Elephas maximus indicus: one gene and its partners. The protein of the gene in region 2 purifies or fractionates together with the protein of the main gene of each other region. This does not show direct contact. Links are inferred from orthologs where the notes say so. Each region holds a gene or a part of one and is shown on either strand. Other genes may lie near its edges. The genes, in order: BMP2K, AP2M1, ITSN1 and AAK1.

What was found.
Region 1: the proteins of AP2M1 (region 2) and BMP2K purify together in Homo sapiens (affinity purification with mass spectrometry; 3 studies listed by BioGRID and IntAct, counting the BioPlex papers as one, with this or other methods). This does not show direct contact. The link is inferred for Elephas maximus indicus from reciprocal best matches to the Homo sapiens genes AP2M1 and BMP2K.
Region 3: the proteins of AP2M1 (region 2) and ITSN1 purify together in Homo sapiens (affinity purification with mass spectrometry; 3 studies listed by BioGRID and IntAct, counting the BioPlex papers as one, with this or other methods). This does not show direct contact. The link is inferred for Elephas maximus indicus from reciprocal best matches to the Homo sapiens genes AP2M1 and ITSN1.
Region 4: the proteins of AP2M1 (region 2) and AAK1 purify together in Homo sapiens (affinity purification with mass spectrometry; 5 studies listed by BioGRID and IntAct, counting the BioPlex papers as one, with this or other methods). This does not show direct contact. The link is inferred for Elephas maximus indicus from reciprocal best matches to the Homo sapiens genes AP2M1 and AAK1.

What each region holds. Positions count from the first base shown.
Region 1 is NC_064823.1:78,278,809-78,286,243, forward strand, and holds the start of BMP2K (BMP-2-inducible protein kinase), read right to left. Parts: upstream 3,020-7,435; 5' UTR 2,927-3,019; coding exon 2,752-2,926; intron 1-2,751. UniProt on the Homo sapiens protein: May be involved in osteoblast differentiation.
Region 2 is NC_064819.1:30,892,510-30,899,506, forward strand, and holds the start of AP2M1 (AP-2 complex subunit mu), read right to left. Parts: upstream 3,018-6,997; 5' UTR 2,912-3,017; intron 999-2,911; 5' UTR 958-998; coding exon 884-957; intron 1-883. Other genes in the region: DVL3 (segment polarity protein dishevelled homolog DVL-3), read right to left, coding at 6,872-6,997.
Region 3 is NC_064836.1:27,968,556-27,975,826, forward strand, and holds the start of ITSN1 (intersectin-1), read right to left. Parts: upstream 3,012-7,271; 5' UTR 2,777-3,011; intron 1-2,776. UniProt on the Homo sapiens protein: Adapter protein that provides a link between the endocytic membrane traffic and the actin assembly machinery. Acts as a guanine nucleotide exchange factor (GEF) for CDC42, and thereby stimulates actin nucleation mediated by WASL and the ARP2/3 complex.
Region 4 is NC_064835.1:66,581,780-66,589,236, reverse strand, and holds the start of AAK1 (AP2-associated protein kinase 1), read right to left. Parts: upstream 3,013-7,457; 5' UTR 2,689-3,012; exon of another isoform or gene 2,622-2,688; intron 2,348-2,621; 5' UTR 2,121-2,347; coding exon 1,958-2,120; intron 1-1,957.

The DNA of each region.
Region 1 (7,435 bases), on a different chromosome or scaffold from region 2:
TTATAAAGTACAACAGAAGTGTACTCCTGCAATTTTTATTTAAAAAACATTATATATGTATACATACACAAATAAGTATGTGTGTGTGCGCAAGCGCATACACACATGCATATAGAGAGAGGTAGGAGGCCTGGCTGCACGCTGGTTAAGAGCTTGGCTGCTAACCAAAAGGCTGACAGTTCGAATCCACCAGCCGTTCCTTGGAAACCCTATGGGGCAGTTCTACTCTGTCCTGTCGGTTGCTATGAGTCTGAATCAACTCGAGGGCAACAGGTTTGGTTTGGTATATAGTGGTGGGACAGAGACGGACTGGTTTATCAAGACACTCAGCAAGCTGCCTATGTTTGCAGTAAAAAAAAGCACACAGCTTCTACCGTTCTAGACCTGTTTAAACAACACTGACCCAAAGCAAAAAATGTAAAATCTACCAAGTTTGTTTCTTGGTCTGTCTTAGCTGCCACCCTTTTTCCCACTCACTGGTATCCCTCTCCCCAGTACAGATACTTTAAAGTCTAATCCCATTTCACAAGCACTTGCCCGAGTCTTATAATCAGGCAGATGTATCTGTCAGTTATTGAGTGATCATGCTTGAATGTGAACCAGACTTGCGCTTAAGCATCTTGTTCTAAATTGTGGCATTATTTACTTGAGAGGGAAAGAGGATATTAAGCATCTCAAATCAGAAGAAACCTGTCAGGATCAAAAAGTAAACTGAATACGGATAATTTCAATTGTGTGTGCTAGACAGAGAAGAATGGTTCAAGGGAAGAAAGCCTAGTTGTCAGTTCCCCTCCAGAGAAGGCTGAAAGCCTAGTCCTAGGAACTGGGTTGGGGAGTGTGGAGTTCTTCCAAAAGGTTTTCTTCAACCTTTGCTTCCTCTCGTCTTAATTCTGTCCTCTTGTTCTTCTATCTATTGTTTCTCAAAAACATGTTTTATTTCCTGTCATCATCTATAGTTAGCATTTGATTACTGATTTTTTTTTCTAAAAGAAATTACAAATTTATGGCAAAAGTCAATGGAACACTAACGGTGATGTTAGTGTTCGAAAAGGTATTTTTTGTGATTTAGTGAGGACTCTCCATTTAAAATACTTCAGTTTTGTTTTCCTTTTCTAAAATTACTCCTTTCTAACTGAAAATGACTTGCTTTCTTTCTTATTGAAAATGACTTGCTTAGAGTAGTGCTAGGATATGTTCGGGTCAGTTATACAAGCTACAAATTCAAAGTCAGTTTGATGTAATGTCGATGTTTCCTATTAAATAAAAGATACACCTCGGATTTAGTGAAATGAGTAACACTACTCAAAGCTACACTTCAATGATTACTAAAACAATCCAAAGACAGAAGTACAGCATTTTCATTAGTAGCAATATCTTCTTAAAATCTACAACCTAATCTAAACCATCACCTAAAATTCATGAATGAAATACAGAGCACAGTAAATCTAAACATCGACAACAATCACCATATATTCACTCTTTTGGAGAAACTAAGGATCCTCCTTCTCCCACCTCTCCAACACTCTTACCTGTTCCAGGCAACAGCTTGCAAAACAATGGCATCCATCCCTGAATAATCCAAGATTTCTTTCTCTTGAGAATATAGACAAAAATCTTCAGGTTTTTCTCTTTTACTAATTTCCTATTTTATGACATTTCATAAAATACAAGTGGAAATCTCAATATAGCATTTTCAAACCACATAAACGTGTAAACCCCAGAGAACCAAAACTACTGTCTTCAATTGCTTTCCTCTTAACCTTGGGACTTAGAAGGACCACTTAAGAACAGAAATTATTTCTCAGGATGTTTTAAAAGTACTTATTTGTATTGTCATTTTGCAATAAAAAAAACTCAAAGGTCAATGTAGCATGCAGTTAACTGTATTTTCTACAAGCCAATTATACAAAAAATACAAAACTAAAGTGTAAATCTTTTCTTTTAAATAAACTTTTTTGTAAGCAGACTTGTGCCTGCTGTCACAGATAATGAAAGACTGACTACAAAACTTCAACTTGGCAAGTGAAAGCTAACCTCCTTTCAAGTCACCTTTTTACTACCAAAGAGACATATTTGAGAAGGCACAAACAGTACCTTGTCTCATAGAGAAGATTCTGAATAAAAAGGATTAATAATCTTCAAATTTACCTGTTCCCCAAAAGCAAATCACTAATTGGATTTGGGGCAAAATATCGCCTCCACAATACACACACACACACACACACACACACACACACACACACACACAAACAAACGCTGCTTTTCAGCTGATGACTGAGCAGAAGCAAACCCAGACTCCACACCAGGGGCTTCAGGGTCCTATGCCCTGAGGTGCGGGTGGAGAGTGGGATGAAAAAGCCAACGCATGACACTCGCCTGAGCCACAGCTGGCAGAACAGAGCCTCAATCCTGCTCAGTCTGACCCACTAATGAGTCACTGGTCCAATCATGACACCACAGCACTTGTAGGACGTTTTCTATTTATTTTCCTCGCGTCGAGGACAGAAAATGATTTAAACTCGTAATGAGAGAACTGTGAACTGATCAGAGCTACCAGCGGCGAGAAAAGCTGGCTTAAGAACGAAAGCCCGAGCGTCTTAAGAGACTCCGCTAGCCCAGCAGAGGAGGCAGAAAGGGGAGAAAGAGTGAACCCATGGGACGAAGAGAGACGAGAACCAGGACCAGATGAAACCACCACCACACCCCAGCCCTCCCTCACCTGCCTGCCCGAGCCTCCCCGGGTGCCCGTACCTTCGGCCAGTGACTCCTCCAGGGTGACCTGGTAGCGCCCGACTGCGAACACACGGACCCCCACGGACGAGCCGCCAGAGCTGGAGCCGACCCCGACCCCGCCGGCCGCGGCACCCGCCGCTCCGGCGCCGCCGCCGCAGCCCTCGGACTTGGGCATCCGAGAGAACTTCTTCATGGTCCCGCCGGTGCGCAGTAGGGCGCGGGGCGCGCTCAAGGGCGAGCAAGAGGGCAAGTCCCCGACCCGGCGCGCGGCCCAACGTCCGCGAGGGGTCGCCGCTCCTCGCCGTTCTGAGCGTTCGTGCGCGGTGCGGCCCGCCGAGCCTCACATTCCGCGCGCCCCGAGCGCACAGCCCCGGCCCCGCTGTCCGCTCCGCGGCTCCGCTGCAGCTGCCGGGCTCCCGCAGAGGGCGGCGGAGGGCGGGGACGGGGCGGGGCGCGAGGGGGCGGGTCCGAACGCGGGGGCGACACCGCCTCGGCAAGTGCCCCGGGTGCCCTCGCTGTCCCCTAAGCGCCGGGAGCGAGGCGCCGGGAGCGAGAGGCCGGGAGGAGGGCAGGAGGGAGGGGCACGGAGAAGGGGGCGGGGCGGGCGGCCCCTCCAGGGAATGGGCTGGACCTCTCGGCCGCAGGCCCTCAGGGTCGTAGCCCGCCGCGCCGCCGCCGCCCGAACTCGACCCGCGCCGCCCGCCACTCGCGGCCGTTGGCGGCGCGGCGCTGGTGCCAACCGCTCACCGAGGCCGGGCCCCCGCGCAGGCGCACTGCCCGCGCCGCCGGAAGTGACGGTTCCGGCTGTTGTCACGTGGAAGGGAGCGGGGGAGGTGACTGTGGGGGTTGGGGACAAGGGCGAGGTGCGGGGTGCGGGGTCCAGGTCCCAGCCAAGAAGGTTCGGGTCAGCCCCGTGGGGCCGGCTGCAGCGCTGGCCACGCTTCGGGGTCTGTCATCTCGGATGGGAATCTGTATGTCACTCTGGGGCTTAAAAATGCCGCCAACAACTTAATCTCCTCCAAGGAACTTTTCTCGCTTCACTTCTAGCCAGTTTTCTAGACTTTGTCCCCTGAGGCTCTTCCCCCGCTCGCCCACCCTGAGCGTGGGAGGTGGGAGCAGCACGAAACTAAAGCGGATTCCAGTAACCCGACTTCTAAAGCCACGGTGTCATCGCAGTGTGTAGCAGAAGCTTGTACTGACAAGAGTTTTGCGATTTCAGATTACTTTAAAAAAAAAAAAAACCTGGTGGATTATTTTAGGAGTACTTAAAATCTCATGTGTGTTCTGCAACTACTGTGTGAAGTATTCAGAGCAGGTATTAAGTTCGTTTTACAAACCATCACCTTTGGCTAAGAGAGCTTAACGACTCGCCCAAGGTCACACAGCTGGCTCTTATGGTAGAGCTGAGACTACAACGTCCGTCCTTTGGTTCTTAATTCTTTGCTTTTGGTCATACTGAAAAAGTAGGTTAGGGTCGGATCGTTGAGAGGCTTGGAAAACGGGCAGATTTAGGACTGTTTGGAAGCAAAAACAGCCATTGAAGTTGTCCCCCGTTTAACAGAGATTTGCTCATTACAATTTCCTAAACTGCATAAATTCTGCAGTCTCAATGCGGGGAGGGGGATGGGGAGAAGTAAAACAGGCAATATGAATAGGAAGAACATTGGCGGGTTAAAGAGTAAACACGGTATGCACTCACTTGCATTGAGCAAGGTCCAAACGGGCTTAATTGCAGTACTTGCTAATCTGGGGTGAGCAATTTTACATGGGTTTCACCAGATCTGTGGTGGGGAACAGGTGAAATTGTGCACTGTAGATTGGTGGGAAGGCACCGTTGGGCCCCTGCATACGTTGCTTGTTGAGTCATCTGGTCCTGACCAGGAGTAGTAAAAAAAAAAAAGTAAGGACTAGCAAATTGTAGAGCATGTGTAGAGACCAGACATTCCTCAACTCCAACCTACTTATCCGTTTATGATTACCTGCCCACCGTGGCCAGAGGTTCCAATTTCTTAAATCAGAAACCTGAATTTTTTTTTTTCTTTTTTTAGTGTGGCATTTCCCCAATTTTTGAACATGTTGGCCAAATAAATCATGCCTACAGAACTCCAGTACATACCTTCTGTGAAAGTAGATGAATGTCGTTCTGTTCTCCCTCCCCTCAATTCTTTCTCCAAATTTTTAATAGGATACAGACAGAAACATTAGAAAATGTGCTTAGGCCAAAGAGACTTTGAGCTTAAAGTCCTTCACTCTTCTCTGCAGTTTGAAGTTTTTCTCCCAACACTGAAACAGTACTGGGGTTTGGCATTTCTGCTGCATAATCACCAAGCTAAGTTTCCTCATCCAGCTACCTGACCTTTAAAGTATATACTCCAGCCCTATGGAAGTCTGATTATATGTTGGATGACTGATGTGGTGTGACAGTTGGGGATTTCCGTTTAGAAATAAACTGACCATTTTCCTTACTATGGGGATTCACTGTGATGTCTCATACCTTCAACATTTGAATTACGTTTTTCAGGTATTAAAGTGGAGAAATCTGATCGTTTCATGGAATTTGAAACTGCAATCAATCTAACATACAAAGTTTGGGCCTAATTCAACTTTACCTAAGCATAACACAGGAATAAATGAAGTCGTATGTGATCAGTTTAGGAGTAAATTTATCACAATTGCTATGGCCAAAAAAATTACTTCTATGAGTCAATGTAACCTAACTTCTGATATTGAAGTTTATAATTAGTTTAAGGCATAGACCTTGTCTCAAAAACTATGAGTAACACCAAGAAATGTGTTCTTTAATTTTTTACCATGCATGTAATAAAATCTGAATATCCTCTGATCGTCGCAGAATGTTAACTCCACAATTTTCTATGACAGCCAATAACATATTACTAATAAGAATGCCAAAACTTGTATTACCAATACTAAGAATGTATTACCATTTACAAACAACTTTAATACCAAAGGACATTGATATTTTCACATTATATCCTCCTAACAAGAGGTCCTGAGTGGTGCACACAGTTTTGTGCTGGGCTACTCACCTAAAGGTTGGTAGTTGGAACCTACCCAGCAGCACCACAGAAGAAAGGCCTGGTGATCTGCTTCTGCAAAGATTATAGCTAAGAAAATCTTAGCTGTTACAACAACAATGGGTTTGTTTATTTTTTTGTATCCTCTTAACAAGCTTGCAAGTTAAAAACGAGTATCCTTAACCCAATTTGTAAACGGAAATTGAGATACTAAGGGCAGGCTTTCAATGAGTAGAAAAACTGTATTGAGAATTCTAGTCTTTAAGTAAGGAGCCCTAGTGGTGCAATGGGTAGGCATTTGCCTGCCTGCTAACTGAAAGGTCAGTGGTTTGAACCCACCAGTGGCTCCATGGGAGAAAAGACCTGGTGATCTCCTGTGAAGATTACAACCTAAGAAGCCCTATGGGGCAGTGGTACTCTGTCGCATAGACTTACTATGAGTTGGAACTGGTAAACAAAGTCTTTTAGTGTTGCACTCATTATTTGACCATGGCTATGGAAGAACATCCAATTTGACATCTTTTTGAGTGACTTATGGTGGCACAGTGGTTAAGAGCTACGGTGAGCTACATCTGCCAGCAAAAAGATCGGCAGTTCGGATCTACCAGCTGCTCCTTGAAAACCCTATGGGGAAGTACTACGCTGTCCAATAGGGTGGCTATTAGCCAGAATCGACTCAACGGCAATGGGTTTATTGTTTATTGTAAAAACACAGGTATAGGAAAGTTTAGTACAGATAAAATCACATTTCAATTTCTTATTAATATCTGAACCAAATGTTTATATACTGCTCTAAAAATAGTTGGGAACTAACAACATAATACTTAAAAAAAAAAAAGATTGCTTCACTTTGCAAGGTTTCATGTTACACTTCTGTCAAAGCCAAGAGATGATTGTAACTAACTAAAGGATTCTGAGATCCCTTAAGCAGGAAGGATTTTGACAATGGAGAAAAAACTAATGTTATATTTTTGTCTTCTAGTGGAAAACTATAACTCTTCTTGTTACTTTGACCCATCTATTTTGCATTACAGATCAAGCAAAATACACTTATCCCAAAAGGCTTATTCCAGTGCCACGATTACCTTTATAAGTCATTTCTTTAGATCTTGATTATTTTTCCTTACTAGTCAGCAATTTCCTTTGATGACATGTCCTCTATCATGGTTAGCCTAACAGGAGTAATTCTCCCTCCCTGGCATTATAACTAATTAAATGTCCATATGTTTGCTTTCCAAAAAAATAAAAGTTCTAAAGTCTTTTAAAAGGATATATACATGTCTTCATGATGAGAACGAATGATTTTTTTAGCATCTCTGATACTTAAATCCTCTGTTAAAACTACTGAACATCATCACTATACCTTGTAAAAATTTATATAGTTCTATGAATATTCAGTCTGATAGTATAAAAAATGCTAAGCTGCTCACGAATATTCTTAATAGAAAAAATGTCTCATTTGACTTGAAATACTTTTCTATGGTAGACTTTTTCCTACACCTTGACCATGCTTTTAAAAAAGACTTCAAGGGGTAGGCAACTTTGCTACCAAGAAACATGCTTTGGTGAATGGAGGAGCATCTGCCACCTGGAACAGCTCCATGGCTTCACACCTCATGGCAAGGATAAATCCCTGCTTAAAGAAGTATTGTCCTAGAGTAAGAGCA
Region 2 (6,997 bases):
ACAGCCACCGTGGCCAGGCCAGCCCATCAGCCAGGGAGCCATGGAGCACTGCAACAGGTCCAACTGGGGTAGCAAGAACAAGTGGAGCCTAATCTCATTAGAGCTGCCGAGGTGAGAATATGTCCCCTCAGTCAGGGAAGAAAAGTGGTGGACATGGTGGAACAGATGGAGAGTAAGGCTGTAGATCCCTGTTAAGACCTGAGGGACCCAGGACAAGGAGCTGTTCTGGGTCTGCTCTGACAAGCCAGAAAGGGCAGCATGGCCTTCCCATCCTTCCTTCCAGCAAAGACCTTAGAGTGAGTGCCTCAGGCTTGCCACAAGCTCTCTTCCAGAAATGGCCCAGAGGAACTGAAATCAGGTGAGTCAGCAGCCTGATTTATCTTGAGAAAGGGAGGTGGAAGAGGATTCTGCAGCCTGGAGAGGCTTCCAAGAGAGCCCAGGGAAGGCTCCCAACATGAGAAGGGCTTCTAAGAACAAAACTTAGAACAGATTAGTACCTCCAGCCTGGCCACTGACCCCACCCATTGGAGACCGATCCCTCTCCTCAAAGGAAGAACCAACCTGCTTGGCAAAAGCAACTGCCTCCAGCAATCAGGTCTGTCACTAAGGGAAACAGGGAGGCAGGCAGGGCAGAAGCCCTGAAGCCTGTGGAGGCCACACCACCCTACAAATCTCACCCAGCGGCCTGCAAGCTAGCTGCCAGGCCCACCACCATCACCAGACCCAAGGGGAACCAGGCTGTACTAGCTGAGCTTCCAGGATGCAGTGAGGGTAGGCGGTGGCCCAAGTCAACCCTCCGGAGGGAAGAGACCTGGTCCCACATGCTGGGGAGGGGGGCTCAGGTGGCAGGGGCACAGCTGGCTCAGCCAGGGGACTCACTCACCCGATGTCATCTCTGTAGACCCGGGAGATGAGCACCTCCCCCTTGTGATTATAGATGAACAGCCCCCCAATCATGGTGGCAGCTCAGTCTCCGCAGCCCATTGCTTAGAACAGACCTAGGACAGGGGGAGGCAGGGTACAGGAAGGCCTCAGAACCCCTGCCCACAGCCCTGCAAAGGGTTTTTTTCCCCCAACTCAACCCCATCAGCAAGTGACCCTGCAGCCCTTCCAGGCATGCCCCTCCCCTCAGCCAGCCTCCTCCAGTTCCTGTTTATCCCACACTGGAACGGCCCAGGATTCTAAGGCAATTTGGACCCTCCCTCTTCTGGGGCTGGGCCCAGAGTAGCCCCCTCCCCTCCTGCCAGCACTGAGCCCAGCTAGGATCCTTTCCGGCCCCCTCTTGTGCAGAATCACTCAGGCTCCAGCCTGTGAGTCACTGCAAGGCCGGCTGCCTGCAGCTGCTGGAATGGCAGCAGGAATTAGTCCAGATGGCTCAGGCCTGGGGCTCAGGCTCCACTACCCCTCTGAGACACTGGCAGGGCCTGAACCGTGGATCTCTAATTCACAGAAGCCTTAACGTTCCAAGAAAGGGTGTGCAGGGTGGGGGAAAGAGGAGGAAGGAAGGGAGGCCTTTGGCCCTGGTTTGGGGCCAGGAGTGTGGCTCCAGCCTCTCCCAGGCAGTCAGATAAGCAGGCAAATAGGAGGCCAGAAAGGCCCCCGACCTGGCAGACTTTGCTTCAATGACACAAGCTGCTCGTTACAGTTATTTCTAACTACTTTCAATAAGGTAGGCTCCCTCTCAGTTCTAGACTGCAATAAAAATAAGGGCGGGGCGGGGGGGCGCGGGGTAGGGTGATAAAATGAAGAGATCCTTCCAGCTGAAATTCAGTGATTCCAGACCCACCAACTAGCTCACGTCTGGCCTGAGTGCCCATAACCAAGGCGCAGGCCTATCAGAAATGCCTGAATTATCCAAGTTATTTGGGTCAAATGAATTTGGACTGAGAGATGAAAAGGGTTAATTTGGCTCTAGGTTGCCTGGATTAGCCCTGGTATTAATTTCACAGCGGAGACTTTAGCAGGCTTTTCTAAACTGCATAATGAAGCCTTTTACTGCGGCTGTGGAGGTCTCCTGGACCAGTGAGGGCTTTCTCAGGGTGGCGGCCACATCCCATCCCTCAGTCCCAAAGAGGCTGGGAGAGAAACACAAAATGGAAGTAGAGTTCACGGGTATGAAGTGGTAAGTAGCTCCGGGCGACAAAGAAACAGAGGTGGAGCCTGGGACAGGAACGGGAGATTTAGTCAGGGGCAAAGGCTGGCAGCAACAGCCCAGGCAGGCTACTCCAGCAGCCCACAGCAGCAAACAGGGCTGGTGGGGGCACAGGGAAGAAAGACTTTGGAGACTGGAAAAGGTCAAGGCCTTGGGGGTGGGAAGGGTGGCCGGCAGGGAGAGACTGACAGTGGTGAATGGCAATGCGGGGAGCTGGAGCTTGCTTTGGGGCTTAGGTGCAGAGATATGGAGGGGGTGGTGGTGTTTTCGCCCTAGGGAGGGGGCCACGGCGGAAAAGATGGTGCCACGGGGTGCGGGGGCTGTCACAGGTCTGAGGACGAGGAGCTGGGGATGTCGCTGAACAGGTAGAAGGGAGTGCGGCGGGGTGGGAGACTTGTCACAGTCCAAGGAGGCAGCACAGGGGGTGTCACTGTCCTAGGAGCCGGGAAATTGTCCTTGCGCTGAGAGAAGGTACCGAGGGGCAGGGGGTGATCACGATCCTGGGATGGGGCGCGCCGCGCGGTGTCCTGCTCTACCCGGCTTCTGCTCGGTCTCTGTCCCGGCAGGCGCCAGGCGGGTCAGGTGGAGGCCACCGCTCCCGCCCGTCCTGCAGCCGCGCCCCGGGCCTGCAGGCTGAGGCCACTCCCGGGTGTGGGCAGCTTTCCGCGGAGTGCGGGCCGGGGAAGAGCAAAGCCGGGCGACGGCGCAGACGGCCCGCGGCGCCCTCCTCCCGCCGGTAAGGTCAGATCCCGAGCTCACCTGGTGTCGGCGGCACCCGGTCCTTCCACTCCCCGGATCCCAAGATGTCCGCCCGCCCCCTGCTCGCCTGCCCGCTGCCTCGGCTTTCACCGCAGTGCCGCGGCCCCGCCCTGGCCTCAGCTGCGCTTGCGCGTCAGCTCCGCCCCGCGGAGACTACAAATCCCGTCAGGCCTCTCGGCTTCTCCCTTACCATTGTAAGCGGTTCAGACTTGTCAAAACTACAATTACCGACAGCCTTCGGGAAACCGCCCCCATCTTCCACGCCACTCTTTGAATACACATCCCGGCATACGCCGCTCCCCCTCACCTGATTTTCTCCACTGAGCATTCTGGGAAGTGTAGTTTCTGCAATCCCTCCTGTGCCTATTTAAGCGTTTTGGAGAGGCTCAGAGATTAGTGACGTTTTTGTTGAAGACCATCTGTTAAGGTTTGGGTTGCTGTAGGTCTTTTATGTTTCCAAGGTCTGAGGACTGGCTGTCCTTATTTTACACATAAACACACAACTTGGTACAAGTGTTTGTGTTGAGTTTGACTGCTTTCTAACATCACCTCTGATTCTCACGAACTTTTTTCGTTATGTATTTATTCGAGCCATGAGCCTTTTCCCAGGGATCAAGACTCAAGCAGGGGTGTAGGAAGGGAGGTGACAATTATGTGCAAGAAATTAGCTACGGCTTTTCGTGAGCGTTCGTGTGTTCTACCTCAGCTACGTGACCGTGCGCTCCTCAAGGCCGAGAGCTGTGTGTCTCCGAGCGACGGGCTGCATATCTTGCTTAGAAAATGTCTGGCGAGTTGATTTTAATTAGACATGGGATTGGAACCCCTTGTCTAATGAATAGTTAAGCTTCACATCTAGGCTGAGAGGAGACAGAGCCAACCCCCAACATGAAAGGCCTGCTTGGCTCTTGCAGGACCTTGAAGGAAACCTATTGGCTTTTCCTCATCTTAGGCAGAGACACCCTGCTGCCTTCCCTGGGCAGGACTGCACCAGTCCTGGGAGGAAGGGCAAGAAAGAGCAAACCCGGTTGCAAATCCCACTGTCCTTAGCTTCCTCCTGCCAGAAGACAGAATGTGATAGAAGGAAGGTCTGGCCTCCTCAAACCGTGGTCCTAACCTGAAGCCATTAAGTGACTGAGTACAGGTGAACTAGTACTCGAGGCTTCACTCCTACCTCTCCAAAAGCTTTATCTTCCACACATATCCTACCCACTGCCATCGATTCCAACTGAAAGCAACTCTACAGGACAAAATAGAACTGTCCCCATAGGGTTTCTAAGGCTGTAAATCTTTACGGAAGCAGACTGCCACATCTTCCTCCGAGTGGCTAATGGGTTCAAACCACCTTTCGGTTAGCAGCCAAGTGCTTTAACCGGTGCACAACCAGGGCTCCTCACACGTATCCAAAACTTCTATCATTTTTTACTAAATAATAATAATAGTAATAGCAGTAATTATAATAGCCACCATTTATTGAGCACCTACTCTACTGTGTGCCAGGTACTGTGCCAGGCACTTTTCGTACAATATCTAATTTAAATCCTCACAACAACCCTGTGAGGTAGGTATTATTATTGTCATTTTACATACAAGGGAACTGAGGCTCAGGGAGGTTAAACAGCCCTCCTAAGATCACACAACCAAAAAGTAGTAGAGCTGGAATTCAAACCCAGAACAACCTGATTCCAAATTCCGTGGTCCAACAAACTAAATAAGTAAAGGCAGACGGGAGCGGAAGGGCCAAATTCAGGAACGATTGTTGGAATGGAATGGATATGATATGCTGACTGGTAAGACATGGGAGGAAGGAATTAAAACCCAGAAACGTTTCTAGTTTGTGAACCTGTGTAGATTGTGATGAAAGTAACCAGGATTGGAATTCAGGAGGAACACACTTGGCGGGAAAGATGACATGTTGAGTCCACATGGATATGTCTGTGGAGATGTCCATTGGGTAATAAAAATATGGACCTAAAGATGAGGGGAGAAGTTGGGGATGGGGATATATACCTGGGAATCACCAGCATATCAGTGGCAGCTGAAGACATAATGATGGATGAGGCCATTTGGGGAGTCTTATAGAAAGGAAAAAGAAGTGGACCAAAGATAGAACAGCAGGGGGCACTGACACTGAAGGCATGAGCAACAGCAGAGGAATTCTCAAGAGTTGGACAGGCAGTCAGAGAGGGCAGAGAAGTGCAGGAGACAGCCCCGCAGTGGCATCAACAGGAAGCCATGGACTGAGTTGAGAGTGAACCCAGAGCTCCCAGAGGGTGAGCAAGACTGAGTCACACTTCCAGCACAGCACTCTGCTTACCAAAGCCCCAGGAAGTATTTGCTGAGTGAATGAATGCCAAAATGCCTGGCATTTGGTTCATCCCAAAGCCTGGAACCAAGGACTTCATCTTACTCTTGATACCTCAGCCCTGAAAATATGGGTGCCTTAGTGAGCCTAGGTGAGCCAGGAGAATTTATAGCAGTCATGACTTGGTTAAAGTGAAGAATAAGGTAAAAAAAAAAAAAAAAAAAAAAACCTGGCACTCTGTCTGGAAGTCCCAGAAGTCCCCCTGCCCAACCTCAACTGGCCTGTGAGCTCCTGTGTCCTGGCTCTGGGGTGTCACCGCAAATGTGAAAACAGGGAGGGGTATGTGTGAGAATGGTCTGTGCCTCTGCTGAGCCCAGCCTGAGAACCAGCTTATGGGTTTTATCCAGGTAGGAAGATGATGAGGACAACTGTGGAAGGCTTGAGGAGTACAAGGAAGGGGAGCAGGAAGTCAGGGGACCAGCCCCACAACCTGAGAGAGGACTGGGAGAGAGGGATCCAGCCCTCTGGGCAGGGACCAGCCCTGAGGCTGAGTGAACTTGCATAGGCACATGTGTGTGTGTGTGCGTGTGCGTTGTGTGTGTGTGCGTGTGTGTGTGAGAGAGAGAGAGAACACTATCTCTGGAGAGGCAAGCATAGTCTCTCACGAGTGACTGTGTGTGAGAGGCTGGGGCCCTCCACAGGAAGCCTAATAACTCAATAGTGAAGTATAGGTGTGGGGGCTGGATATCCTTGGGGAGCCCTGAGGGGCTCTTCAAGCAGGGCTCCTGGTCTCCTCGGAGGCTGGGCCTCCCTTTGCAGGGGGCTCACAGAAAGTCAAACAGCCCGAAATTCTTGGCTGCTCCAGACCCAGGAAAAATTGGGGGAGGAAAAAGAAAGAAAAGAAATGTTTCAGGCCCAGAGGTGAGACAGGCCTGCCAGTTAGTAGGGTTAGGGGTCTGAAGGAACCAGCACGCAGGCCAGACACAGCAGGGACAGGGCGGGTGGGTGCCACGCAGGCAGCTCAGGGGCCCTCTGGGCCTCTGGTCAGGGCTGGGCATAGGCAGGGATGGCATGGATGGTTACTGGAAGTGGCTCCGGCTCCAGGGTGCAGGACTGAGGCACAGGCAATGGACAGTTAAGGCGGGCAGGCTCAGTGAATGTCCGGGGGGAGGGGAAGCGATGCTGCTGGACAAAGTCGAGGTTGCACAGTGCTGGAGGGGTTAGGTCAACAGAGGGATGACAGGGCTGAATGAATGGGGAAATGGAACTGAGGGGGACGGGAGAGGACGAGGGGCTGAGAGGCCTCCAAGGGCTGCTAGGGTTAGTTCCTAAGTGTGTATGTGTGAGGGCCAGATTAAGGGTGGCACCGGCAAGTCTGGGGGACTTGGAGACAGCAGCCCAGGGCACGAAGGATCGCGGAAATCCTGCTCAGCGGTCAGTGGGCCAAGAGCTCAAGCTGGGGCCAGAGGCAGGTTAGTGGGTACCAAGCCGATCGGTGGGTGCACCCCACCCTCAGTGCGTCCCTTGAACAGTTAGCGCGCCGTCATTTCCTTCCATTTATTTCCCTTTCAGGTACCAGACAAAGTAAAAAACGACGGACGGTGGGTGAGAGGGGCACAGGCGGCCGGGATGGGGGTGGAAGTGGAGAGGGGCCCTGCTCACATCACATCCACAAAGAACTCACTGGGGTTTCCCATGGCCATGCGGAACGACTGTCTGCTGGCGGTCAGTTCGGGGGGCACAGAGGCCAGATCGCGGCCTGTGGGGGCCCCTGGGGGCCCCAT
Region 3 (7,271 bases), on a different chromosome or scaffold from region 2:
GTGGTGTTGACAAAGAATATTGAATATACCATGGACTGCCAAAAGTACGAACAAATCTGTCTTAGAAAAAGTACAACCAGAATACTCCTTAGAAGCAAGGATGGCGAGACTGCGTCTTACATACTTTGGACATGTTGTCAGGAGGGATCAGCTCCTGGAGAAGGACATCACACTTGGCAGAGTACAGGGTCAGCGGAAAAGAGGAAGACCCTCAAAGAGGTGGATTGACACAAGTGGCTGCAACAAGGAGCTCAAGCGTAACAACGATTGTGGGGATGGCTCAGAACTGGGCAGTGTTTCGTTCTGTTGTGCACAGGGTCGCTATGAGTCGGAACTGACTTGATGGCACCTAACAACAACGAAACTAAGTGACAAGGTTAATTTCACAAGATTTTCAAATTTGGTCTCAATGCAATGCAGGTCACTCGTTTACTCAACAAATATTTGATCTCTTTCCTCCAGGCACTATTCTAGGCCCTGAGGACACAGTGGTAAGCCAAAGTCTCAGCCCTTCTGAAACTTGGAGGACAGGTATATTACACAGGTGAAGGTCACGATCAATAGGCTTTCATGAGCAGCCTATGGTAAAACATCCTAGCATTTGAAAATCTTGCTATCCACTTAAAGATGTCGTCATAAAGAACTGCATACAATCCAGGAGACACTCAGTGACAAGGAAGCACAATACCAGTTGTTCTCCAACTTTACCACACAGGAAAGAGCCCTAGAGAACTTGTTGAAAATACCAATGCTGGAGTCCCACGCCCAGGCAATCTAACTCTGAGATGAGCTGACAGAAACAATAACCCTCAGTCATTGTTGATGTCTGTGATCTGAGGTCCAGAATTTGAGAAACCCAACCAGCCAGTGATGGAGCCCTTCAGAAGGGAATGATCACATGCAAAAGGCTCAAGACAGTGCTACGCAGGGGGATTTGAGCTGAGTAAGGTAAACCCAACCCTCGTATAATTCATTCTCTATAATTCACAAATTTAACAAATTAAAAAGATGGCTAAGACTAGAGGAATTTACCATCACTTTCTTCTTAATTTCCTACACGAGTTTTGAGAGTTTGTCTCTACCCAGGCATTTGGGGAAATGGTGAACACATGCAGAGTTCTATACCAATATTAGAGATAAGCATTAAGAAAGAAATTGCCAGCCAACAGAGAATAAATATGCTAAGAGTGAAAAACTTTTCAAGGAACTAGCTTGCTACCAGTCATTTTATGCCCTATTTCACAATGCCGAGTATCTATCTGAACAATCCACGGGGTTCCAAAGTACATTAAAAATGTGTTCATTTCCTCTCTTACTCAGGCAGAATAATAATAGTTTTGCGAAGGTACCACGTGCCTCGGCAATTTCAAGAGATACATTCTTTAGACAAATACCAATTTTTTTTAACCTACTGTCAGAAATGCCCCTTACTGGAATCACTTAAAGGTGGCTGAAATAATTTTAACGCTGAAAGAACTTTAATTTTTTTTTAAAGATGTCTTAGTGATAAGCAAACACTCATCAAAAACAACGCATTTCAAGACCAGCCAAAAAAAAAAAAAACTAAAAATCACAAAAAGTGTCTCTTCTTACACAGTATCTTGTTCTCAGATAACTTTGAGCTGTTTAAGCTTCTGCACTCTCAACCTTAAAATCATCTAAAAATAAAGATACCCAGGCAGACGCATGCAGCACATTTTAGGGGTTAAGAGCGCACCACGCAAACCGGCTGACCTGCCCTCAGACCCCGTCCACTAGGAAATCCGTAACCAGATCTCTCGGCATGTTTCTTCAGAGGTGCCACGGCACTAGTAAAACTGCCTCCCTGCTAACAGAACTGAAAATTTTCCAGATGACATTTGCTTGTTATTGTACTTGTTTTTAGGATCTGTGCTTTTTGCTGCCCTCGATTTTTATTATTTGCATGTTTCGTCCACGAAAATCCTTTAGGGGAGGATGCCAATAGATAATCGCACAAAGAAACGCATCTGGCCAGAAAAGCCTGCATGTATTTAAAATTTCGGATCGGTGCAGCACCGACGATGGCAAACTTCTAAAGGAAACTTCTCATATTTAAGAGGCTATCAAAAACCTCCATTGCCTCCAACCCCAAGGAGAAGCCACTCATCTGTTCTCCAAAAGCAGACGCTTCCTCGGTCCGAATGCCAACACAGAAGACGCCCGCAAGAAACGTCACCTGCGAACCGTCTTCGCGCCCCGGGCAAACGGCAGCCGAGATGCAGCCTCTCCCCGCGGCCCCCTTCCCGGGGCTGCGCGGCGTCTCCTCCCGGCCTGGCGCCCACCCGGAGCGAGGGCTGCGCGGGGAGGCGCGGCGGCCGGGGCTGCGGAGGGGCCGCGCTCGATGCGGCGCCCCTGGGCGGCCCGGCAGTCGGGCTCGGCCGCGCGGCATTGAGCGCCCTTCACCGGCGGATCATGCAGGCAGCCGGCGCCGCCAACGGGAGACGCGCCGTGGGCGCGGGGAGGCGGCGCCGGCGAGGGGCGAGGCTGGGCCGGCCCCCGCGCTCCGGCGGCCGAGGGCGCCCGGGTCAGCCCTGGAAGGACCGCCGGCCGCCGAGGGGGCCTCGCGCTGGAGGCGCCCCGCAAGCCCACGCCGGCCCGGCCGCCGCCCGGGAGGATGGAAGGGCGAGGCGCGCGGCGGCGCTGCAGGGCGGCCCCAGGGACGCGCGCCGGCCCGCGGGAGGGCGCCCCGGGCGGCCATGGCGCCGACCCCGCGACCCCCGCCCAGGCCGCCGCCCTCCGCCCGCCTGCTCCTCACCTCATCTCCAGGCGGATCCGCGCGGCCGCGCCGGGCAATCAGTGCAGCGCACACGCCGCGGGCAGGCGCTGACCAGCCGCAGCACCGCTCACCATCCCCGCCCGCCTCTCCGTCGATCCCGGAGCCCGCTCGGGATTCTCCCTCGCGAGCCGCCGTACTACGGAGCAACCAAGCTGCGCTCCCTCCCCTGGCCCGCCGCTGCTCTCTACCTCCTTCGCTCCCTCCCTCGCTCCCTCGCTCCTTTCTCCCGCCTATCTCCTCACATCCCTCGGCTGCCTCTCCCGCCCCACCCACCCTCCGTCCCCGCCCATAAGCGGGCGGGGACAAACAGCCTGCCAATCAGAAGAACGGGCCTAACCCTCCGCACCGCCCCCTATCGCTAGCTCCGCCCACCGCGGGCCCGAAGGAGGAGGAGCCGAAAGGGTGGAGGAGGACGGAGTGACAGCCGAATAAGCCAATCAACATGCGCGAATGGGGCGGGCGTAGGTCTCTTGCCTCCCCACCCCCACCTCCTCCGCGAAGTCGTAACCGGAGGTTTCTGGTCTGTGATTTCTGTGTCGGGGCTTATGGAGTTTAGATCCACGATTTCAGTGCATCTGTCATTGCCTTTCCAGATACTAGATAGGGTGCGTTCAACTAACTTAGTTACGGAAAGTGGTCAGGAATACGGTGGGACTGAGGAAGGGTGTGGTCTTTAAACATAAATTTGCATAAAACCTCCCCCGTTTATTGGTAGCCCCTAGTGAGGGGCCTGGCTCCGCCCCCGCGCGGGCATGCCGGGAGATGTAGTTCCGAATCCGGTTGCTATGGCGTTCTGCGCAACCTCCGGAGGTCGTGCCCAGCCCTGCAGGAGTGACGAGTTAACAGACCAATAGGAGCAGCAGCGTGGAGCGAAGGGGCGGGCTCTCTGCGGAAGGGCTTGAAGGTGGCGGTGGCTAAGCTGCAGGGCTTTGGGGCCGCCCGGAGACAGGTGAGCCTCGGGAAAGGCGATGTGTGTCTTGGGTGTCAGGGCTTTGGGGGAAAGGTGGAAGGACACCGAGCGGAACCGCCAGCTCTGGGCGGGTGGTGGTTCGCGTCGCATCCCCACCTCAGACGTGCTCACGTCCAGGCCTAGCTTAGCCGAGGCCGCACAGGAGCGGATAAAACTTGGCGGACAGTTTCCTGGCGCGTTAAAATACCAGGAAACCGAACCCATGGCGGTCGAGTGCATTCCAACTCCTAGCGACCCTGCAGGACAGAGCAGAACTGCGCCATAGGGGTTTCCAAGGCTGTAATCTTTACGGAAGCAGACCACCACGTCTTTCTCCCGCCCGGCTGGTGGGGTCGCACCGCCAACCTTTCAGTTAGCAGCGAGCGCTTTAACCACTGCGCCACTGGGGTCCTTACTGGCCCTGTATGGGTTTTTAATTGTAGGTTTTATCTCCGTTTGCATCTCTCTCCCCTTCTACTTATCTCCCAGGTTTCGTCTATCTCCCAGGTTGCATGTATCTCCCTTGCTTTTTCTCCCTAACTCTTCTTTCCCCTGTACCCCTTCTATAATCAATTACCGAAAGGAAGGTGGCTTTAGGGCCAGATTTGCTCTCTTCATCCAGCCAAACAGCCGAATACCCCGGAGCAATGCGGAAGAATCACCTGGGGATTTTGTCAAAGTGCAGAGACCTATTGTCTGGGGACAGGCCTGAGAACCTCCTCCTAGGAGCTGCCAGTCCTGTTATGGGTACCAAGGTGCCTCATCAATTCTATCCAATGCAAATACAATGCGAACCACTTAGGTAACTTTAAATTTCTGGTGTCCACATTTTTAAAAAGTGGGAAGAAAAACGTGAAATTAATATAGTAGTATATTTCATTTGGAAACCCTGGGTGGTGTAGTGGTTAAGTGCTACAGCTGCTAACCAAAAGGTCGGCAGTTCGAATCCTCCACGCGCTTCTTGGAAACTCTGTGGGGCAGTTCTACTCTGTCTTATAGGGTCCCTACGAGTCGGAATCAACTCGACGGCACTGGGTTTGGTTTTGGTTTTTTTATATTTCATTTAACACAGTATAGCCAAAACATATCAATAAGTAATCAATATAAAAGCTGAAGTTTTTTTTTTTTTTTCCTAAATCTTCGAAATTCAGTCTTTTGCACTTAAAGCACATCTTAATTCCGACCAGGCAAGTGCTCAGTAGCCACATGTGTCTAGTGGCTGCTGTGTTGGACCGTCCCTGTAGATCCAGATGATATAATAAGCCACTGCAGAAACTGAAAGGTCAGGTTGCTCATAACCAGACTTTTTGTCTCTTTGTGACACAAGCTGAAGAGCTACCTTAGAGGTTCTCTCCCAATTTACAGAAATAAGTAAATATATTGAATGCTAATTTGGTGCCCATTGCTGTCCAGTTAATTCCAACTCAGCTACCCTATAGGACAGAGTAGAACTGCCCCAAAGGGTTTCCAAGGAGCCGCTGGTGGATATGAACTGCCAGCCTCTTGATTTGCAACCGAACTCTTAACCACTGCGCCACCAGGGCTCTTACAGGTATTATTTAATCCTCACAGCAACTGTGTGAAGTAATTACTACTATTATACCTATTTTATAGGTATGAAAACTAAAGCCCAAAAACTCAACCAAACCGAACCTGTTGCCATCAAGTCCATCCCAACTTATGGCAACCCCACGTGTTACAGAGTAGAACTGCTCTTTTGGGTTTTCATGCCTTCCACAATGCTGCTGGGTGGGTTTAAATTGCCAAACTTTGGGTTAGTTGACAACCATTTGCACCACCCAGGAACCAAATTAAGGCTCCCTCGCCCCCCCCAAAAAAAAACCAAACAGATTGTTGTCCAGTCAATTCTGATTCATGGTGACCAGAAAGGTTAAAAGTGGCCCAGAGTCATACAGCTAGTAAGTAAGGGGGCTAGGATTCACTTAGGCCAGTTGTGACATATAAATCCTGTCTACAACCACTGCAGAGTATTCTTACTAGCTTCACTTTGCTGATGCTCCTGCTCCAGATTATGGGAGGGGATGAGATGTTCACATTTGAAATGGAGAGGGCTCCCCACAAAATCAGGCTACCTCTCACTGAAGTGGTTTGATAGATTTACAACTCTCTGTACTGTGATTTTAAAATGAAAATTCTGGATTGAAGAAAAGAGTTGAGAACCTCAAGGAAGCACTTAGGCCTCTAGACCAGGGCTGTACCCTGGTCAGTAATGAGTCTTGATTCATTTTTGTCCTTCCTCAAAGAAGGAAGGTGGGTGAACTTGAAAATTCTTAAAATACTTCACTATGGAATCACAGTGTTTTTTGTTTTTGGTGAACTCTCTTTTTTCTAATTGATAAACATGAAGGTTTTCTTGCCCCTAAACGGTGAACTTTACATAGAATGTTTCAAAGACAACATTAGAAAAGCTGTCTTTGCTTTTCTTAAAAAAAACCCAGTGCTGTCGATGCTTTTCTTAGCTCCAAAGAATTAAGGGGAGTTTTTAAGTAGACGAGCAGGAATACACATATCCACACATGATAAGATATGGTATTTTACAAAATAATTTTCTTCCATTTTTGTACATTATAAATATGATACATTTTATGAAAATTATCTTTTCTTGATTCTGAACATACTGGTAAATATTTAATCACATTACAATTCATATTTTATACTGAAGCAAACAATGGATTCTTCAAGATGCCTGTTGCTGTTAGCTGCACGGCCACCCCATGAGTGTCAGAGTAGAACTGTGCTCCACAGGGCTTTCTTTGGCTGATTTTTGGAATTAAATTGCCAGACCTTTTTTCCTAGTCCATCTGAGTCTAGGAGCTCCACTGAAACGTGTTCAGCATCATAACAACATGAAAGCCTCTGCTGACAGATGGGTGGTAGCTCCACAATAGGTGCGTTGGCCCAGAATCAAGGCAGGTCTCCCCCATTAAAGGGAAGAAGTCTACCACTGAACCAGCAATGTCTCCAAGATACTATAGTGAATTCGAAAATTAAATAAGCATTTACAAACTGCAATAATAGTAAACCAAAAAACCAAACCCGTTGCCATCGACTCATTTCTGACTCATAGTGACGCCATAGGACAGAGTAGAACTGCCCCATAGAGTTCCCAAGGAGCGCCTGGTAGATTCGAACTGCTAACCTTTTGGTTAGCAAGCATAGCTCTTAACCACTATGCCACCAGGGTTTCCGCAATAATAGTAGGTAGAGAAAAAATCAATTGCCATTGAATCACTTTTGAATCATGGTAACCCCATGTGTGTCAGAGTAGAACTGCTCCATAGGGTTTTTAATAGCTGATTTTGGAAGTAGATCACCAGGCCTTTCTTACTAGGTGCCTCTGGGTGGACTCAGACCGTCAGCCTTTCAGTTAGCAGCTGAGCAGGTTAACCATTTGCACCACCCAGGGACTCCAGTAGGTGGAGAAGACTGCCGTGGTTAAGTCGAATGGAAAGGAGGGAGAGGAGTGTGGTAGAAAGTAACAAAAATTCCTCAATCGTTTATCTC
Region 4 (7,457 bases), on a different chromosome or scaffold from region 2:
TAGTTTGTAGACTCCAGTATCTAGTTTAATAACATATCCCCAAAGCCTAGCACAGTGCCTGGCACATCACAGGCACTCTGTAACTATTTGTTGAATGAATAAATAAATGAATGAATGCAGAGCTTATAGGCCCTAGCTTCCACATAAAAATATCATAATGTGTGATGTAGCAATTCTCAAAGATGAATCGTGGGGAAGAGGAGGGTAGCCTAGATAACAAAGACCAATTTTGCCTGTTCTTTTCCCCATCACTGAGAACTGGCATTGTTTAGGGAAGCACCATCTATAATGAGACAACATCCTAGAAGAACAAAATGCTCCTGGACTGAGGTCGGCAGAGACCATTCAGGAAGGAGGAAAGGGTGCTGCACCCTCTCATGCTTCCCGATTTCTCCTGCACATACACATTCCTCCATTTCTCCATCCCACTGCAGTCAAGGGCTTTGGCACAGGGATAAAAAGACACACATCAGACTCAAGGGTGCAGATCTGGCAGCAGGCACAGAAGCATCTCCCATCCTGCACCAAAGCCCACAGGAAGGATCCAGAGACACAGTGACTCAGGCCCCGGATTAAGTCCAGCTACAGCAGTACTGAGAATGGAAAAGAGCAGCAATTTCACAAAATCACGGTTGTCAGATATCTTTTTTAAAACAGTGTTTTTAAAGTACAGGTTTCGCCCCTACCCCCAGAGAACCCGGCCCTGCTGAATCCAGTGCTTACACACGCTAAGAGCCAAAGAGCTTCTTCCTCCTCCCAATCTATCTGCCTGCAACACTCACCATGACAGGCACTTCCCAGGCCCAGGTCGGGACGCTGGCTTCAACCTTAGCTTGCAAAAGGTTCCTAAGCTTTCTCCCCTCCTCCCCTGCTAATCAACTGTTTCTCATCCATATTGCAGTAATAAAGGCCACCCCTTCCCCCATCCCTTCTCAGTCTACAACAACCTACAGCAGGTAGTTTGAATAGCTTTATGCCAAGGAAATTGCTGCTTTTATTAAAAATAAAAGCACACTAAGCAGGCAATGGGCTGAGAAAAGTATGAGTCTGGCATAATTATGAAGGTCGAGGTTAAGGTTATCAAAAGAGACATATGAAGATTTCCCTAAAGCCTGGGGGATAAAGATATAGATCTATATATTTATAGCCATACACACCTAGGGAATTTACACAGCAGATCTAAATAACATCCTCTCCAACCAAGGAAAAACAAAACCAGAGCCACCCAGTTTTAGCTTTAAGTAATTCTTCTTTTGGTTAAAAATAAATAAATGAAATAGGAGGAAGAGGGCCCTACTAGACAGAATTGAGAATAACCACATTCATTTCACAGGATTTTTGCTATCTTAGCTACATTCTCGGGACCTAATTACAGTTGAGTCAGGAAACAAACCTAGACAAATCCACCAAGAGCCTCGGCTCTTGGCAAGTCACATTCCCATTCTCTGAAAATCCTCTTTCTTCCACTGCCTGCTCATGGAAGTAGGAAAGTTGGTTAGGAGGAGAAACAAATTCCTCTCTCTTCTTGAAGGTTCCCCATCCCCACCCTTCAGTCTTCACATCAATATTTCAAGTTTTAGGAGGATGACAAGCCCACTCCCCTGCATTTGATGTGAAGCGTTGTACTCTCACACATACGTTTTCTCCTCTGATCCTCATAACTCGGTGAGGCAGACAGGGGTGGCTTCTCAACATTGTTTTCTGGTTTTGTTTTGTTTTAATAAAAGGTCACTGAGGTAAACCATTTCTGGCAACCTTCCTCCATCCCCATAAGCCCTGTCACTTTCAAATCTCAGTTTTAAATCTCTCAAGGACAATGAACCACAGGGCAAGGGAAGGGGGAGGGGAGGTCAAGTGGTCAAAACCCATTCATACAATCAACATCCAGACAACCAGAGTCCTGCCGCATCGGCACACGATTTTAATTTACCAAGCACTGAAAGAGTCCCAACCGTACCTTCCGCCAACACCTCGTCCACAGTGACCTGCTGTCGCCCGATGCCAAAGACCCTTCCGATGTAGCCACTGCCCAGGCCCGAAGTGCTGCCCCCTCCTCCGCTGGAGCCGGAGCCCAGGCCAGAGCCGCCCTGCTCACGCCGGGAGTCGAAAAACTTCTTCATCTTGCAAAAAGAAAGCAGCAAAGCAAAACACGGATGGTTTCTAGATTTTTTTTTTTTTTAAGATAACAAGAAACCCAAGGATTTCTTCTCAGATTTCAGCTCCGAGAGGAGCCACCCGAATCCGGCCGTGGGGGTGGGGGCTGAGGAAGGATGCCTATAGGAATATGCGTGTCAATCGCGCGGCGGGTCCCCTCCTCCTCGGGAGAGCGATTCGTGTAAGTTTAAACCTGTGATGACAGAGGAAGAAAGAGGATGAATCAATAACACACTTAAAAATTCAACTGCTCAGTCCTGGCGAGGCAAAAGCCATCAACCTGGGGGAACGCTTCATGCATTTTCTTGGCGAGAAAAACCTCTAGGGTTGAAAATGCGTCCCCGGGGCTGGAAGAAAGGGGGCGTTCGGGCCGCCGTGGGCAGCAGCACCAAGCCAGCCGGGCACTGCTTCCCCCTCCTCCCGGTCCTCCCCGCCGCCCCGCGCGGCAGCATCCCGGAGGCACCCACTTGAGACGGCTCGGCGGCCGGCGCCCAGCTACCAGCCCCGCAACATTGTCACGGCCGCCGGGCCGACCTGCGACGCGGAGAGGAGGCGGCGCTGCAGCCAGAGCCCGGGCCGAGTTCGGCGCCCGCCCGCCCGCCAGCTGATCCCGGGAGCGCCCGGAGGAGACTAACCCTCCGCCCCTCCCCCGCGCGCGCTCCCGCCCGGCTCCATCCAGCCAGCCAGGAAGTGAGTCGTGCCGGAAGTGCCTCCCGGCCCGGCACGACGGGGGCGCCAGGGCGTCCCCTAGCCACCGCTGCTCTATCGCGACAGACGAGAAGCGGTGGCCTGAGGGAAGAAGGAGACAGGGGAAAGGCGATCTCGGTGCGGACAGTTTTGGAAAACAACATTGCTATCTCCCGACTTGCAGGGCACCCTGGGAAAGGTAGTTCGGCGCAGCCCAGCTGCGGGACTACAACTCCCAGGATGCCTCTGGAGGAGCTGGGAGGAGAAGGCAGCCGTGGCCTCCGCGGCGCCGAAGGTGGTTAGTTGGGTGGTGCATTTGTGGGGATTCGGTTATTTAAACCCATCCGGTAAACCCACTGCCTGGTACTAGAGTTTCTCTCCTGCTGCTTTTTCCACCCTTCTGGAGCCATCTTATTTGCGGCTTGACCTCTTGGCACAAGGGATTCTGGGGATTGTGGTTTCCCAAAGGATCGAGGCTGACATCTGAAGGACGCGGCTGCTTTAACCGCTTACCCCCTTGCACGTCCTGCGGGGCTTTTCGACTTCACTTGGGCAGAAGGTGGAAGAGAGAGGGCGACCGGGAAAATTTTGCTGACAGTCGGTCCTCAGGCCACACGGGAATGCGAACGTTAAAATCAATAAAACCGGCGCCTCTCCGCCCCCCATCTCCAAAGCTGTTTTTGCCCCTCCCAGATGTTACTGAGAACCCGCTCGTGGGTCGGCTCTGAGCGAGACGCTGTCAGAACGCTCGTAAGACAGTGTCTCGTCCGGGACCTTACTGGCGAGACTCCCACTGTGAATCTGCTAAAGGTTGTGTGCAAGGCAGACCCTAGGGAGACCCAGCCCGTCGGCTCCGCCCCAAACTTTGGGGCTCGCGTGCCAACGGTGACCCTTAATTCTTCTACCTTTGCTGACGTTCTGGGTGGTCCTGACTTTCACTGATAACCCTCCCACACAAGAACTCCAGGCTGACCTTTTAATTCTTTCTCACGTCAAGATTCCTCTTGATGCTTATTTTACCCTGATATCGCCTGAGTGCAGAGGATGGGGGTGGACAATGTGATTTGCTTCTGCCAAACGCAGAAGATTTGGAAGGCCTGTTGGTACTCTTCTCCATCGCTAGATCTCCTGATAAATGACGCCAGAGACAGTGACAAATCCCTGCCCCCCCCCAAAAAAAAGCTTTTTCTAACGCCTGAATATAGGGTATTTTTCACCTCCACCTGCTCGCTCTTCCCGTTCCCTAATTCTGCGACAACCTTCTGGCTTTTAATTCGCCTCAGAATTTTTTTCAGCAGTCATTTCAGGAGAGTTGAGAGGAGTGTCCAGCGAGAAGGAAATGGTTCTTGCTTTCTGTAATTTTGAGCTGAACTGTGGCTCGAATAGCGGGGCCGTGGCGGCGACTTCTTCTCCTTTTTAAGTTTCAAATTGTGCCACTACAATTACACTTCCGGTGTAGAGACTGCTTCTTTTCTTCCCGAGGGAATCAATGTTGTCGCCCATGTTCACAAACCCATGAGGCCAGCTACAGAGTGAAATGCAGAACCCACTAAAACGTCCCGTCAAGGCAAACCCACTGAGGCATGCACTTTCTTAAAAGGTGAGGCGTTGTTTATAAGGAAGTTGGACTAGATTAAAACACATGGGAAAGCTCATTTGGAATTTGATTCATTGCCGCCTGTTTTTCTCAGCACATGTTGATCTTAATTGACTGAAAGAGAGAGAAAGAAACTGTCTTGGGTCCTCGAACCTGTTGCTATCTCAGTTTTCACTTTTCTAGACTTGACTGTTCCAGATTAGGCTAGGTTTACACAAATCCCAAATTCTCACTACTGAGATACAAAAATTTGTTTTCTTCACTGGGATTGGTTGAGATAGCTAAATGTATTTACTGAACCTGAGTGCCTTGATGATAATCTAAGGGAGATGGGGAAAAAAGAAAAAAAAAAATTAGAAGACAGTGGCAAAGTGGTTAAAGAGCTCGGCTGCCTACCCAAAGGTCGGCAGTTTGAATCCACCAGCTGCTCCTTGGAAACCCTAAGGGGCAATTCTACTCTGTCCTACAGGGCCACTTTGAGTCAGAATCAGCTCCACGGCAATGAGTTTTTTGTTGTTGTTAGACTCCTTGCCTTCCATTCTCTCAGCAACTAATAGCAATTTTAATGGCAAACCCACAGTTTTTAAGTGCTCTGCATATATTAAGTTAGTGAATTCTCAGTACAGCCCTACGAAGTAAGATACTATTATTATAATACCCATTCTATAGACGGAATCGACTCAATGGCAGCAGGTTTTTTCATAGATGGGGAAACTGAGGCACAGAGATAAATGACTTGCCCAAAGTCACATAGATAGTAAGTGGCAAAGGCAGGATTCAAAACCCAAATATTTTGGTTACAGAGCCCAGTGCTTAACTGGCTGCACTAAACTGCCTTAGAGAAAGCAAACATAAAATGATGAACAGATTTGGTAATAATTAGAAATATGTCTACAAGCATCATGAGACTCACCATTGCTGTCAAGTCAATTCTGACTTAGAGCGACCCTATAGGACAGAGCAGAATCGCCCCACAGGTTTCCAAGGAGCATCTGGTGGATTCAAATTGCCAACCTTTTATTTAGCAGCCCTAGCACTTAACCACTATGTCACCAGGGTTTCCATCTAGGAGACAGTAAACCTCCGCTAGTAGTTGTGACCCTCTACCACTTAGATCTCTGGGCCTATTTTCTCAGCCATAAAAACAGAGCTCTCTTTCAACTCTCAGTAATTCTGTGGCTTCTGAGGGCAAAATAACCACAGGACAGCCCACTATGACCTCAAAACTCTTGCCATACTTACTTTCTGTATAATTCATTCCATCCTACTTTGCATTCCTATTCAACTTTTCATGTATATTGTCACCTCAACCAGGTACTTCAAAGGCAGGGAACAGTCTTCTGCTTATCTCTTTGAACATCCAGTACAGTAGTTTATATCTACTGCGTCCTTCTCAGTACTTAAATAAACCAAATAAATGACTCCAAATTAAATATGACCCCTAAGAGAGCAATCTGATTGAGGTAGAAAGATTGATTTATAGAATTGCTATGAGTTGGAATCAACCCGATGGCAATAGTTTGGTTTCTTTCTTTCCTGTTTTTTGATTTAGACTAGATGAGGAATCCCTGGGTGGTGTGAAACATTAACATGCTCGGCTGCTAACCAAAAGGATGGAGTTTGGAGTCCACCCAGAGGCACCTTGGAAGAAAGGTCTGTTGATCTACTTCCAAAAAACCAGCCATTGAAAACTCCATGGAGCAAGTTCAACTCTTACATGCACGGAGTCACCATGAGTTGGCATTGACTACTAGATGAGCTTTTTAATTAGACCTAGGAGATAGTATAGAGAAGTACTCATTTAAAGAGAAAGCAAAAGGAAGCTGACATTTACTATGATCTTCCATATGCCAGTTACTGTATTAAGCAGTTAGCATATCTTCTTGTTTAATCCTCGTGGCATCTCTGCAGGGTAGATACCATTATCATTATATGAAAGTAGATCCTATTATAATATTATCCCAATTTTATCAATGACTAAGTGAAGATTTTCTTAGTAACAGAAGGACATGCATGGTTTGGTAGGTTTGGTGGAAATGATTTGACCTGTGGGGCAGCTAAATCATGTCACAGTAAACCCAATTATAGCAAATGTGTGCTGCATCTTTAAGGGAACTCAAAGGGAAAGGGACCAACATTGACCAAGGACCTTAATTAATTAAGGTAGGCATTGTATTGGATGTTTATATAATATCTTTAACCTTTACAACACACCTGTGAGGTATGCATTAGTGTGGAAACAGGCTAAGAGGAAGTATGTTAACTATGCCTAGACACAGCCTGCAAAGGGCAGAGCCACAATCAAACTGATAGGCTACCAACCCTCATCATTTTCACTGCACCATGGTGCCATTCTATGTTCCCATCTTTTAACCCAAAGGAACTGGTTAGAAATGCAAATTTCTCAGGCCCCACCCAGACCTACTGAATAGGAGGGAGGGGCTGAGGCATTAATCTGTTTTCGCAAGCTATCTAAGGGGTTCTGATACACGTCCAAGTTTCAGAAACGATGTTTTGCCCAGAGGAAATTATAACAGCCATTTCCCTTCTTAAAAAAAAAAAAAAGAGCATTTCTTGGTTTTGTGTTTTCTGATTAGAAAAGTAATTGAAGAAAACTCATTGTAGCTTATTGAAGAAATAATAAAGATGAAAATAACAATCAACTGTAATTCTATTGCTGAGAGATATCTGCTATTGACATTTTGATCAGTTTCCTTTTAGCATTTTCTCTCTATAAAAAAAATATATATATAAACGCAAAATTTTTTGGGCATATTGGATCACATTGTAAACTTGTTACATAATATTTTATAACTTTTTCATTTAATAGTTTTCCATTTCATTACATATTCTCTAAAAATACTATTTTTAATGGCTGCTTAGTAATCAACCAATTCTTTACTGTTGAATATTTTATCATTTTATTAAAAATTTGTACTGTTATACATATGATTGGAATGAACATTCTTACGTGTACTGCTTTGATTTTGTTTTTCTAACTCTATGTTTCCATAAATAG